Cricetulus griseus: one gene and its partner. The protein of the gene in region 1 binds, or shares a complex with, the protein of each later gene. Links are inferred from orthologs where the notes say so. Each region holds a gene or a part of one and is shown on either strand. Other genes may lie near its edges. The genes, in order: Ntrk1 and Ngf.

Evidence for each region.
Region 2: the proteins of Ntrk1 (region 1) and Ngf are in contact, whole or in part, in a crystal structure (PDB 1WWW), measured with the Homo sapiens proteins. The link is inferred for Cricetulus griseus from reciprocal best matches to the Homo sapiens genes NTRK1 and NGF. Residues at the interface, in NP_002520.2 of Homo sapiens: His291, Val294, Glu295, Met296, His297, Cys300, Pro302, Phe303, Ser304, Leu333, Glu334, His343, Gly344, Cys345, Arg347, Thr352, His353, Met379, Asp380, Pro382; in NP_001424474.1 of Homo sapiens: His125, Pro126, Ile127, Phe128, Arg130, Gly131, Glu132, Phe133, Ser134, Ser138, Ser140, Trp142, Tyr173, Phe175, Arg180.

What each region holds. Positions count from the first base shown.
Region 1 is NW_023276806.1:66,679,055-66,684,942, forward strand, and holds part of Ntrk1 (high affinity nerve growth factor receptor), read left to right. Parts: intron 1-1,720; coding exon 1,721-2,050; intron 2,051-2,416; coding exon 2,417-2,434; intron 2,435-2,591; coding exon 2,592-2,647; intron 2,648-2,871; coding exon 2,872-2,974; intron 2,975-3,417; coding exon 3,418-3,564; intron 3,565-3,862; coding exon 3,863-3,993; intron 3,994-4,133; coding exon 4,134-4,306; intron 4,307-5,888. UniProt on the Homo sapiens protein: Receptor tyrosine kinase involved in the development and the maturation of the central and peripheral nervous systems through regulation of proliferation, differentiation and survival of sympathetic and nervous neurons.
Region 2 is NW_023276806.1:54,474,463-54,480,835, forward strand, and holds the start of Ngf (beta-nerve growth factor), read right to left. Parts: upstream 4,367-6,373; 5' UTR 4,298-4,366; intron 1-4,297. UniProt on the Homo sapiens protein: Nerve growth factor is important for the development and maintenance of the sympathetic and sensory nervous systems.

The DNA of each region.
Region 1 (5,888 bases):
ACTTCCAGCTTAGCTGACATCTGTGCAAATTGAATGTTGTGGGTAGAATGAGCTCAGGGCTGGACTTCTAGAGAAGGAGGCGTACATCAGTTCTGCATCCTGTTCTTAGACAAGCTTTGATTCATTGGAGGGGGTGCAGCCATACACAAGCATCTTTAAAGAGGGGAATTCCTCTCCTGAGTTCCTTCTTAATGCTTGTTGCCTAATTTATCTAGCTTTGCCAACAAATTATCTTTAATCTATGTTCCAGCATAATTTCTCCTTTATTGTGAAATACACATAGTTATGCACACCAATCATACACATTATTTATTTACTTATTTATTTAGAGACGGGGTCTTGCAACAAAACCCAGGCAGCTCTGGAACTCACAATCCTCTTGCCTCAGCCAAGTGCTGGGATTACAGAATCGCCACACCTAGCTGACATACATACTTTAAGCAAGAATTACCCTTGCCAAGACTTTAGAAGACACCCTCCCTCAGTCCCAACTCCATCTCTCCATCCTAATTTTTATGTTCAGTGCTTCCTTGTGAAAATAATTTTCCACAGGGGCTGGGAATTGATCAATAATGAGCATTTTCTATTGCTTAAAAGCACTAATTGCTCTTGCAGAGGGCCCAGATTGGGTTCCTAGCACCCCACACAGTAGCTCACAACCATCTGTAACTACAGTTCCAAGGAATCTGATGCCCTCTTCTGGTCTTCATGGTCACCCAGGTATATGTGTGGTACACATACACGCATGTGACAAAACACTAATAAACATAAAATAAAAATAAATCTTAAAATAGTAGTTTTCAAGCTGGGCACGGGGTGGTGCATACACATCCTTAATCCCAGAACTTGGGAGGCAGAGCAGGCAGATCTCTGTGGGTTTGAGGCCAGCCTGGGCTATAGAGCAAGTTCCAGGACAGCTAGGAGGGCTGTTACACAGAAAAACCCTGTCTTGAAAAACCAAAAAAAAAAAAAAAAAAAAAAAAAAAAAAAACAAAACAAAATTTTTCTACATGTCTGCTTCCCTATTAGAAAAATTTTGTTTGTTTTACACATTATATAAATGAAAACTTACTCTATGTATTTTTTTTATCTATTTTCTTTTGTCCAACCTTCATATTTGTGAAATCCATCTGTGGCAACAGAAGTAACTATAATTCCTTCATATACTACAAATATTTCATGTTATGAATGCTGATGAGAATTCCCATAAATTTGTATGTTTGTACATACATGTTACACAAATATATTTTGTCTGTTATTGAGGGGTTTTCAGTTTTTCAGGACTGTCTCAAAGCCATGTTTCTTGATTTTTTAATTCTTTCTTTCCTTTTCTTTTTCTTCAGTGCTGTAACTGTCCTTGGATGGGACCCAGGACAAGCTGTGTCCCAGCCTAGCAAGTGCTCCTTACTGAGCCACGCCCTAGCACTGTTATCTACTTGTTTAGAGACAAGGTCTTTCTAAGTTACTTGGGCCTTGAACTTGTACCCTTCTGCCTCCCAAGCAGCTTGGCTGGCAGGCCATCACTACTAGGCCTGTACTGGGCTCTATGTGTGTCCCTTAAGCTTCTGAATTTTGTCTGTTGGCTGCCACATTCAGTACCAACTTTCTTCCAAATATGTCTTCTAGAGGGTTTCTTAGGATCTGCTACCCCTGATTTCTCCCTTCCCTGAATTCCTTCCAGCCAGTTGTCCACTCCCTGTCGTGTGCCCTCTTTCCACAGTCCCCGCCAGTGTGAGCGTGGGCCAGGCAGTGGAGCAGCACCACTGGTGCATCCCCTTCTCTGTGGACGGGCAGCCAGCACCCTCTCTGCGCTGGTTCTTCAATGGTTCGGTGCTCAACGAGACCAGCTTCATCTTCACCCAGTTCTTGGAGTCTACACTGACGAATGAGACCATACGACACGGCTGCCTTCGCCTCAACCAGCCCACCCATGTCAACAATGGGAACTACACACTACTGGCTGCCAACGCCTATGGCCAGGCGGCTGACTTCATCATAGCTGCTTTTATGGACAACCCTTTTGAGTTCAACCCCGAGGACCCCATCCCTGGTGTGAGAGCTGCCCTAAACCCTGCCCTGCTCCTGGGAGGCACCTGGGTGGAGAGCCGGCCATCCAGGGAGGTCTGGCCTCTGTCTGCCGTGACCCTGGTTCCCCGAGCTAGAGCGCTTTGTCCTGGACAGAAGAGCTGGTGGCCAGCTCTATGCTGTCCTCCTTGCCTCTCTCCCAAGCCAGGCCTGCTGAGGCCCTGAGCTGTTCTAACTATCCAGGCTGAAGAGAGGGCTGTGCCCTCTAGGCAGCTATAGCTCCCTCTTTCTTGAGGCCCAGCAGCCTACCCCACCCAGTAAAGGAACACCCTGGAGGGCAGGGCCTCACTGTTCCCCCTCTGACTGCTTTCTCTCCTCCTTCCTGCCGCAGTCTCCTTCTCGCCAGTGGGTGAGTTGCCTGGGCTGGAGGGCAGCTGTGTTGTCTCAGAGCTGAAGCAGAGGGGACAACTAGCTGGGACCCTGAAGTGTGGCCAGGGTGGGGAGCTGCTGGAGGAGACACAGCAGTATGTGTCAAGGCCCACCCCTTGTGCCCTGTGTCCCCACAGACACTAACAGCACATCAAGAGACCCAGTGGAGAAGAAAGATGAAACACCTTTCGGGGTGAGTGTGGGATGTGGAAGCTTATGGGGACGTGGAATGGGGTGGCCAGGCATGGCTCCCTGGCCTGTCATTTGGAGCTAGAGCAAGACAATCAGTCTACTGCATCCTGAGCTTGGTTAGATGCTCCCCCAGCCAGGCTGAGGTCACTAGGGAAGCAGGACACAGGGCCAGGCACCTGGCTCAGGACTCCGCTGTGGGATGGAACTATGCAACACTACTTCTAGGTCTCTGTGGCTGTGGGCCTAGCCGTCTCTGCTGCCCTCTTCCTTTCTGCCCTGCTCCTTGTGCTCAACAAATGTGGACAGAGAAGCAAATTTGGGATCAACCGTGAGTTGGCAGCAGAGGGCTATCTGTCCATCTATCCCACTGGCTTGGTTTTCTCCTGTCTCTTCCTATCTATGCCCTGTGGTGTTTGGTATATTATTGGGGGGTTGTCTGTGGGGCTCAGGCTGTATGTGTGCTGGGCTGGGGCAGGGTCATTTTGGAGGTAGTGGTTATTCGTTTGTGGCTGTTGTCAAACACTGAGTGGTCTGGAGGGCTCATTTCTGTCAGCAGCAGGGGAGGGTTTGGTGCCAGGGGCCGGTCAAGAGGCCCCAGTGCTTCCCTTCCCTTGCCTACTGTCTCGCTCTGGCATGACTCTTTCCCTCCTGCAAGGTAGCCGGGCAGGGGGCGGGGGGGGGGCGGCGGCTGGCACTATTCAAGCTGGTCTGAGCAAGTATGGAGATGGTGCTTTGGCCTGGATGTTTCATGCTGGTGTGTCTCTTCCCTAGGCCCTGCTGTGCTGGCTCCAGAGGATGGGCTAGCCATGTCCCTGCATTTCATGACATTGGGTGGCAGCTCTCTCTCCCCCACTGAGGGCAAAGGCTCCGGACTCCAGGGCCACATCATGGAGAACCCACAGTACTTCAGTGACGCCTGTGAGGAACTGTGTTACAGTAGGCGAGTGCGAGTGTGTGTGTGTGTGTGTGTGTGTGTGTGTGTGTGTGTGTGTGTGTGTGTGTGAAGCTCTTGGGCCATCACTGTGCCATCACCCAGGCCTATCCCCACCCTACCTCAAAGTCTAGCCTGGTTCCTGGTTCAGGGTCGTATCTCCCATACTCCCTGGCCGGATCCTCTCACCCACCCACACCCCCTTTCCTGTGGTTGCACTGCCCTTACCAGCACCCCATCCCGCCCATGCCAGGGCTGCCTTCTGACTTTACAAGCCCCTCCCAGGTGTCCATCACATCAAGCGCCGGGACATTGTGCTCAAGTGGGAGCTAGGGGAGGGAGCCTTTGGAAAGGTCTTCCTTGCTGAATGTTACAACCTTCTGAATGAACAGGACAAGATGCTGGTGGCTGTGAAGGTGAGACCGTGGTCCTGGTAGGGACTGCTGGCCCATGTCCCTCAGAGCACAATCATGTCAGGGTGGGGGGTGTTTGAATGGAATAAGACTTGCGATGGGACTGGAGTCCCCTCTAGCCGTGACCCCACCCCTCCCCCTAGGCACTGAAGGAGGCGTCTGAGAGCGCCAGGCAGGACTTTCAGCGCGAGGCAGAGCTGCTCACCATGCTTCAGCACCAGCACATCGTGCGTTTCTTCGGAGTCTGCACTGAGGGTCGCCCGCTGCTCATGGTCTTTGAGTATATGCGTCACGGGGACCTCAACCGTTTCCTCCGGTACAAGAGCCCAGCCCCTCACTCAGTCTTTGGTCCCTTCCCTGAGAGAGTATCTTTGCTCGTCTGCCTGACTGAGGGGGAGACACCAGGAAGGGATAAGAAGGCGTAGCTGCCACCCACAGGGAAGTAGAGTGGGCAGGTGTGTCAATGTGGGCATGTCTGTAGGACAGTTGCTAGAGGTCAAAGGTCTGAACTGGAGCTTTGGGACCATAGTTCTGTAAGACTGTATGTGCATTTATGTGCATAGAGGCCAAGCCCGCAGGGAGATGTGGTATGGAGAATGCTGACCCCAGGCAGCCATCAGGCCCCTTCTGGGTTCTGTGTGCTTGTGTAGTGCTATATTTTTCAGTCTCCAAGCATATAAGCCATTTATATTGGAAGGATGTCACACAAAACTCACTTCTTTGACTTTGGCTAGGACAGCTCTGATGTTTAGTTTCTGATACTTGTAATCACTTCGAGAAATGTGTTGACTTCACAAGAAGGTTTAGGGGTGACAAGACCTGCCCAGGACACGCAGGAAGTGAAAGCTGCCACTCCAGCAGAACTCTTACCCTCAGATACAGGCTGTGATGGTCCTTCTCCCTCAAGGTAGCCATAAGGCCCAGGCAGGATTAGTTAGTGGAGTACCACCAGAATCAGCCACCATGTCTGTGAATCTTCCTTTCTGGCCAAGAGCACACACCAGGGGGAGAGACAGAGAAGGCTTCCTGGAAGAAGGGGCATTAAAACTGAGACTCCAGTCAAAAGGCAGAGAAATAAGCCTGGGCAAAGGAGGCTGGGCCAGGAGGCAGTGTAGCTAGGAGGGAGGTCCCATGTGTCAGTTAGGCGAAACTGTGGCTCTGGGTGAGAAAGCTGACGCTCATGGCCTGATTTCCCAGAAGTTCTAGGGAGGGGACGCTCATGTGTACAGTTGACAGGGTTAGCTATGAGAGACCCTGAGTAGGAGTGACCCTGGGACAGTGCACCTCTGCAGGGACACTGAGTGGCTCAGGTAGGCCAGCCCTAAGATGCATGGAAGTAGACTGGCAGAGTAGCCAGTGTCAAGGGTGAACATCTCCCTGTTTCTGGACAGGGTGCAGGCCTAGCCAGAGAGATGTCATCAAATGGGCCCAGGCTGTGTGAGGAGCAGCTGGAGCACAGGGAGGGAGGAGAGAATCTGAGGCAAGCCTGGAAGGCTTTGAGTAGGAGGCTTGGGCCTTTGTGTTTCCAGCTTCCTCCGAAGGCACATGGGACCTCCCTCCTAGCTACACTGCCTCCCGGCCCGGCCTCTTTCCCTGGCTTACTTCTCTGCCTCTTGCCTGAAGTCTCAGATTTAAGGCCTCATAGGTGTTCAGCAAACTCCTGATATGTGGGAAAAGGCACTGCTAGCAAGGTGACCAGTAGGAAGAAGAAAGACTAGGAAGGAAAAGTGGCACCATGTGGACAGCCTGGACTGTGGGGCACCCTGGAAACCTTTGCAAAGGAAAACCATCCAAGGAATAGCCGGGCCCTAAGGACAAAAGTGGGGGGTGATGGCAGGAGATTCAAAGAGGACTCAAGTTGCTGGCCTGGAGGAGGCTCCCTTCGTGGGGCAGAGTAG
Region 2 (6,373 bases), about 12 Mb from region 1:
ATGTAGGTCACCTATTTGACTAGATTAAACCAACCAGCAAGTTCCAAGAATTCACTTGTTTCTGCCTCCCTGGTGCTAGAATTCCAGGCTCATGTCACACCTGGCTTTTGAGATGAGTACTGGAGATTTGAACTTTGGTCCTCATGCTTGCACAGCAAGCACCTTATCAGCTGGAACACCCATCTCCCAGTCCTTCTCCTCCTCTTTTGCTCTCATTAAGAATTGACCCTGAAATCTAAGCACCTCCACATTTATTTCCTCTTCTGTTTCTACTAAGTTTGAGGTAAGTAGTGAATGTGTGTTCCAATACATCCTCCAAAAATATTATTTTTTATCAATTTGAACTGTATTTCTTTGTTCCCAAGTGCAATCCTGGGACAGAGGTGAGGAGAACGTGAGCTGCTCTATTTGAGAAGGTCACCAGTGCCTTAAGCAGCATCCCTTCCATGCAACATCACTGATTCTCATTTACCCTCACAGTTTGACTGGGTGGATTTATTTGCTATCAGCATGTGTTCATGTTGTATTAAGTGCTGTCATTGTCAGGGGTGAGGGGACAAGGCTTCCTGCTTTAGGGAGGGCACCTCCTACTGCCAAAGCATAATCCCTTTGACAAGGAAGGGAAGGATTTTCTTCAGTGCTGGGATCTCCCTGAGCAGGCAGTCTGTCTATGCTTTCAACAGCATATGGGTGAGGAAGGAGGTGCCCTGTCCTGATACCCTCTACCTTTCCCCCATTCTTTCTGTTGTTCTTCTCCATTGCAGTGAAATTCCAGTCACAGAAGGCAGAGGGTGACACCTGGAAAGATCATAACACTGAGATCCCTTTTGATAGAGGCACTATGTCTGATATATTGATACTCAGAGGACAAAGACTAGGGTTTCTAAAGTCCCAGCTCTCTGACTGCATCATAGATGCCTCAACAGAAGGGCCTGGAAGCATGACCTTTATTCCATTCCCAAGGGAAGTCTTAACTGGAAGCACCGTTTACACATGGAGGCAAACTCAGCTGCCATCATGACTTCTGACATTTAGTAGGTAAGGCAGGGACACTGAACTTCCTGTGTGTGTAGAGTGGTCACACTTAACCAAGAATTGCCCTGATGTGTCAATGGCTCCATTTACAAAAGGCATCATGGAATACACTAGTCAGATTTCATGAGGTTAATGACTTGCTCACTGATGGAGCTCACAGTCACACAGCTGCCTTTCCTTTTTCCAATGGAAAAACCTCCATTGGAAGATTACTCAAGGTTAATCAAGAGACCATCTCAACCTTTACATTTGATTTTCCTATATCACAGTCAAAGGCCAACAATCTACAGAAATTCCTCAAAAGACATTATATTGTCCATAGAAGAGAAAAAAAAAAAAAAAGACACAATAACCACAAGCAGCTGTCCTCTATGGTGGATTCTCATTTCTCCAGTCCTGTCTAAACCGTGTAACTGAAGGTCTATTTCCTTTAGCCCAGATAGGAACATCTCCTCATTGTGCACACCCCCTTGGCAGTGATCCCAAGGCCTCATTTTCTCTGTTTTGTACAGTGGTCTCAGAGCCATCTTAGTCTCTCTATTTGGGATCGGAAATCATAACCATATCCCCACTGTCAAGAAGCAAACATCCCAGGAAACAGTTAGGAAGGATCTTTCTTTCCTCTTTATTTATCTGGCGGACATCACTATGACACAACACTAATTCTCTCAGAGTTAATCTTAGAACTGGCTAAGCTTGAGAGCAACAATGTGTAAGATCAAAAGCGCCAGTCAAAGAAAGAAAAGAGACACTTAATGGAAACACAGGTCCTTGGCTTCTCAGATAACCAGAGACTTTGTACATACTCTGAGCAAACCTTCCACTTCCTGACTGTGGACGGCCTGCTCCAGATACTGAGGTGCCTGCAAGTTCTTATTAGGAGAAGGCAAATGGCCAGGTCTCTGGCTCAGTCTGTTAGTGCTGTGTGGGCCTGTAGGCACAGCTCGGTTACATACCTAGCAAAGAAGAGCAGTAGCTGTATTCTCTGTGGATTCCCCCCCACAGCTAGGAGACCCTGTGCTCCACAAGTGAGCAGCTGTCATGCTCAACTCTCCTTTAGAAGTGTGTGATTTTCTCATCAGCTGAATCTCAGTAACGATGAGAAACTTCCCTGGGGCTCCAGCCCTGCCCTGCCTTGCCCTGCCCTGCCCTAGTCTCCATGCTGATGTTGGCAGCTGGGGCCCCTTTCTGGTCCGGGCACAGAGTTCTCCCTGGAGGAGAGTGGAGTGTGGGGCCTCATCCTTTCCTCTCACTGCCCTCGGGAAATGGGGACTGTGAGGTGGGTAAGAGGAGAAAGTGAAAGCCTATTCTTTGCTAAAGGTTAACAGTAAAGAATTGACAGCCACTAACATCAGCATGACTGTCCTAAACAAATAACTTTCTGATTATTTGGGCTGCTTCCAGTGGCTGTCCAGGGATGACACTGATTTCAGCTGGCTATCAAACCCTCTGAGTCACTCTTATAGCTCTGTCAAATCATGTGCCCATGCCCTAGAGACCCTGAATTCCTACAGGTGGTACTCCTTAACATTTTCTCTTGGAGGCATCTCTCTCCCTTTTTTTCCCCACCTGCCTAAAATATTGGGGAGAATGATGAGGGGAGGAACAGAAAGATGTGGCATTAACTCCATCCTCCTTCAGCTACCCAGGACAAGGGACATGTACATCAGTACCTGCCATGCTGGCCTCATCCCCCAGACCATGCTCCTTTCCAGCTGCTTGTCCCCTGTCATCCTCTGGGAATACTGTCTATGATGAATTAGTATTCAGATGGCCAGGCTGACGCATGCCTTACTCAACAGATGAAACCCATCAGGCTTAATGTGGCCTGTGACTCGCAGAGAGGGAAAGTTTCATTAGGTAGGGAACCGTAACACCAGTCAAGAAGGGTGGCAGGGGCCAAAACTATACAGATCTTTTCAAACCGATATAACACAGATTCAGAAGTTCGAGACCCTGGGGAGAAGTTACTGGGGGTGGAGGGGGGTCCACGACCCTCCATGCCAGTTAAGCTTGCAAAGTTCAGCTGGTTATGCCTATGAGGAGAGTGGATTGGCACGGGCAGAGAGAGTATACTGAAGGGATAGATGCAGGACAATACATCAAGTGTCTTTTCTCCAGGGCTTCCACTGGCCTCCCGTGACAGAAGGGGCAGAGGCACCCAGGAGAGCAGTATTTTGGTTTGCAGCTTGGAACGTGCCCTGAGTTTCCCTTAATACCCACAGCACCCAAAAGACTTTGCTGTAATACACTTTAATGCACGAAACACCCATAAATTATCCTTCAAACTGCTACAATTTCCAGCCTGGAACAACTTGGAAAAACCAGCCTAGCAAGCAGGCACTTCTTGAATCTCTGGAGTAAACCTGACGAAAAAGGTCAAGCCAAAAACACCTTCCTTAAGAATCTCAGAAAGTTTTATGAAAGCAAGAGCATTGTAATCAAGCAGAGCTAACTAAGCCGCATGTTTACGTTGGCTTCAAGTTGCAATACCATGACCCCAGAGTCCTCTCTCTCCCTCCCCTGCAGTTTCTCTGCCTGAACCCAAGACTCCCGCTGCCCTTCCCAATGCCGGGGTGCCAGCCTCTGCCACACCTGGCAGCAGACAGTTGAATGTACTGGGTGACCCAAGTACTGGGGATGAGCCTTGAGATAGCCAGCAGGCCCCACCAAGGGCCCTGTTGCTAGGGACCTCGGCACTTGGAACCCAAGCTCCCTGAATCAACCCCTGGCACTCTCAATTTATACTGTGAGCCCTGCGACAAGCACCGAGTCTAGCGCACCCTGGGCCGCTGGTCCTCTCACTTTGGTGCTGCGTGGCACTTTGGGGACTCTGCGCACTCCCCAGCCCACGCGCTATGCACTCACCCTCCACTGCGCGGGCTACTGCTCCGCCACCCCAGCGCGCTTGCAGCGCGCGCATCCCTCTCTCCAGGTTCTCTTGAGCGCTGTCCCCTTCTAGCCTGAGAGCTCAGGAAAGGCGGTGCTGCTTCTGCAGGCGCCAGTGTTGACTTTGGGACTTCTAGACATCCTGGGACAGGGAATTTTACGACCAGAGAGACCCTCACTTCCTTCGCCTCCCTTGCTTGCCCATGGGCTCGCGTCCCTACATCTACTCCGAACACTTCTTTCAGGGCTGCGTTTCAACCCACGAAGATTTCGCCAGACAGGGATCCATGCACACCATTCCAAGCCCAGCAACCCGGTCCGCCGCACCGCTCTGCACCCCGTCAGGGGTTCGGCTCAGCGCAGCCTGACTCACCGATGCGCTCCCCTCCGGCTCCCGGCGCTCTCTGCTGTGCTGGAGCACAGAGCTGCTGTAACAGGCTTCGTGAATGTATTTAGCCCCTCCTCCCTGGCTCCAGTCACAGCCTCTCCAAATCCTGGCCCCCACCCACCTCATCCCTTCCTCCTTGCCCCACCCCCACTCCCAGCCCCGCACCTGCTGTGACTGGACCCAAGGTGCCAGACTGCAGGGGTCCTGGGGACAAGGGATGGATAGCTCCAGGAAGGCTGGTGGGACTCGGCCAGGAAAAGACAGCCAGGGAAGGATTCAAACCTTCTGAGGACAAATGAAAATGCATCGGGTTCGCAGTGGCAGAGGGAGATTTTCTAGGGCACCAGGCAGGGTAGCTGGTCCTGCACACCAATGGGCAGACAGGCTGAGCAGGGCAGAGTAGCTTGTCGGAGTTAGAAGAGTCCCTTCACCTTCTGCCCTGGCTCACTGCTTTGCTAGCCTTCTGGGTTGGTTTAGGTCTCCTTTGGTGGTTGGACATCAGGTGCTCCTCTCCCTGCAAATCTGAGAGCTGAAAGAACACCCAGGAAGCTCCCGGGGTTTGGCAAGTACTAGGAGGTTATCTGAAACCAGGCAGAAGCAGAGTTAACTAGAATGTCTAGACAGAGGTGTATCTGCCGGGGGTCTGAGGGAAGAGGGTCTTAGGGGTCCAGATACCTCACGTTCCCAGCCAGCATTAAGGTCTGGGATTGCAGGAGCCTCCCAGGAACTCAGTTCCCTCTAATATTGTAGATGGAATAGTGTGCTGCCTACAGTTTTCTAGATCTGGGGTCCACAGCTTTCATCAGTTTTTAAGAATTGGTGAGTACAGCCTTAGAAGAAGGCCAAGCCTTCTGCCCCACCCCAGACCCCACCCCACTCCCTTTCATCTCCTCTATTTGTTTACTTAAGGTGGGGTCTCCAGAATTTCTTGGATCTGATAGATTCAGGAGCTGGTGGGGGCCTGACTGACTTAGACCTCCCCCTTTCCCTGTATATATTTCCACCTCATCTCTTCCCCAAACCAATAAGGCAGAAATATACCTAAAGTCAGATTTTTCACCAAGTGTGCATGTGCATGAACAGTTGTAAGAAAGATCTTTGGAAATACACACACACACACACACACACACACACACACACACACACACACCTTTTGCTGGTTGAACTTGTGAAATGACTTTTCTTCCTTTGAAAAAGCATGTTGTATGCTCCCCTCCTCTCTGCCTCCGCCTCCATGAATGGATGGAAGGAATGGATGCAGGAGAGTGACAGAGGGAGGGTGAAGTACTGAGTCTCCTCCTTGCTGATGACTTGCTAGTACTGCCCAGGCAAAAGTCATTCTCCATGCAGCTGGGATGTAGTTAGGCAGCGGCTCCCAGGAACAACTTGAAGTGGTCCTTCATCCCCATTGGAAGACACCTGGATAAGGAAAGGATCCGCCGAGGAACTTGTGGCCATCTGGATTTGGACTCCTTTGTGTCTTTGCCTTTGTCCCCACATCTACCTATGTCCCATTTCTAGGCACTCTGAGAAGGATGAAGGAAGAAGAAAGGACTGGCATTGGAAGTTGAGCTTTCTTGCTTTGCTAAGCATGGTCTGTGTGGTCCAGACACAGTCTGGTAGATCAACACATTTCAGAAGTGAAGTAGAGAGGTCAGGGGACTCTAGAATGGCAGAGTAGAAATAGCATAATGGCTGTGGTGGTCTATTAGAAAACTTATCGTTGTTAATCAAACAACTAACAGTTTCCAGACAATACAATACATCTATCCATTAACCATTTCACATATAACTGCTTTTTAAGAATCAGTTCTATATAATAACTGCCTGTGAATTTAGGGGTGAAATTCAAAACTACAGAATAGCTCGATTTGGTTGTTAAATGCGGGGCTTTTGTATGTGTCCTTATGGTGTCACCTTGAAGGACAAAAGGATTTGGGGTACTTGTGGTTCTTTTTCAAGAGGGGTATTAAAAACAAAGTAAAATATAAGCCCAGCTGTTCCACCTGCAAATTTTTTTTATCATATTATGGGGGCATACCCTGGTTTAACAGGAGGTTT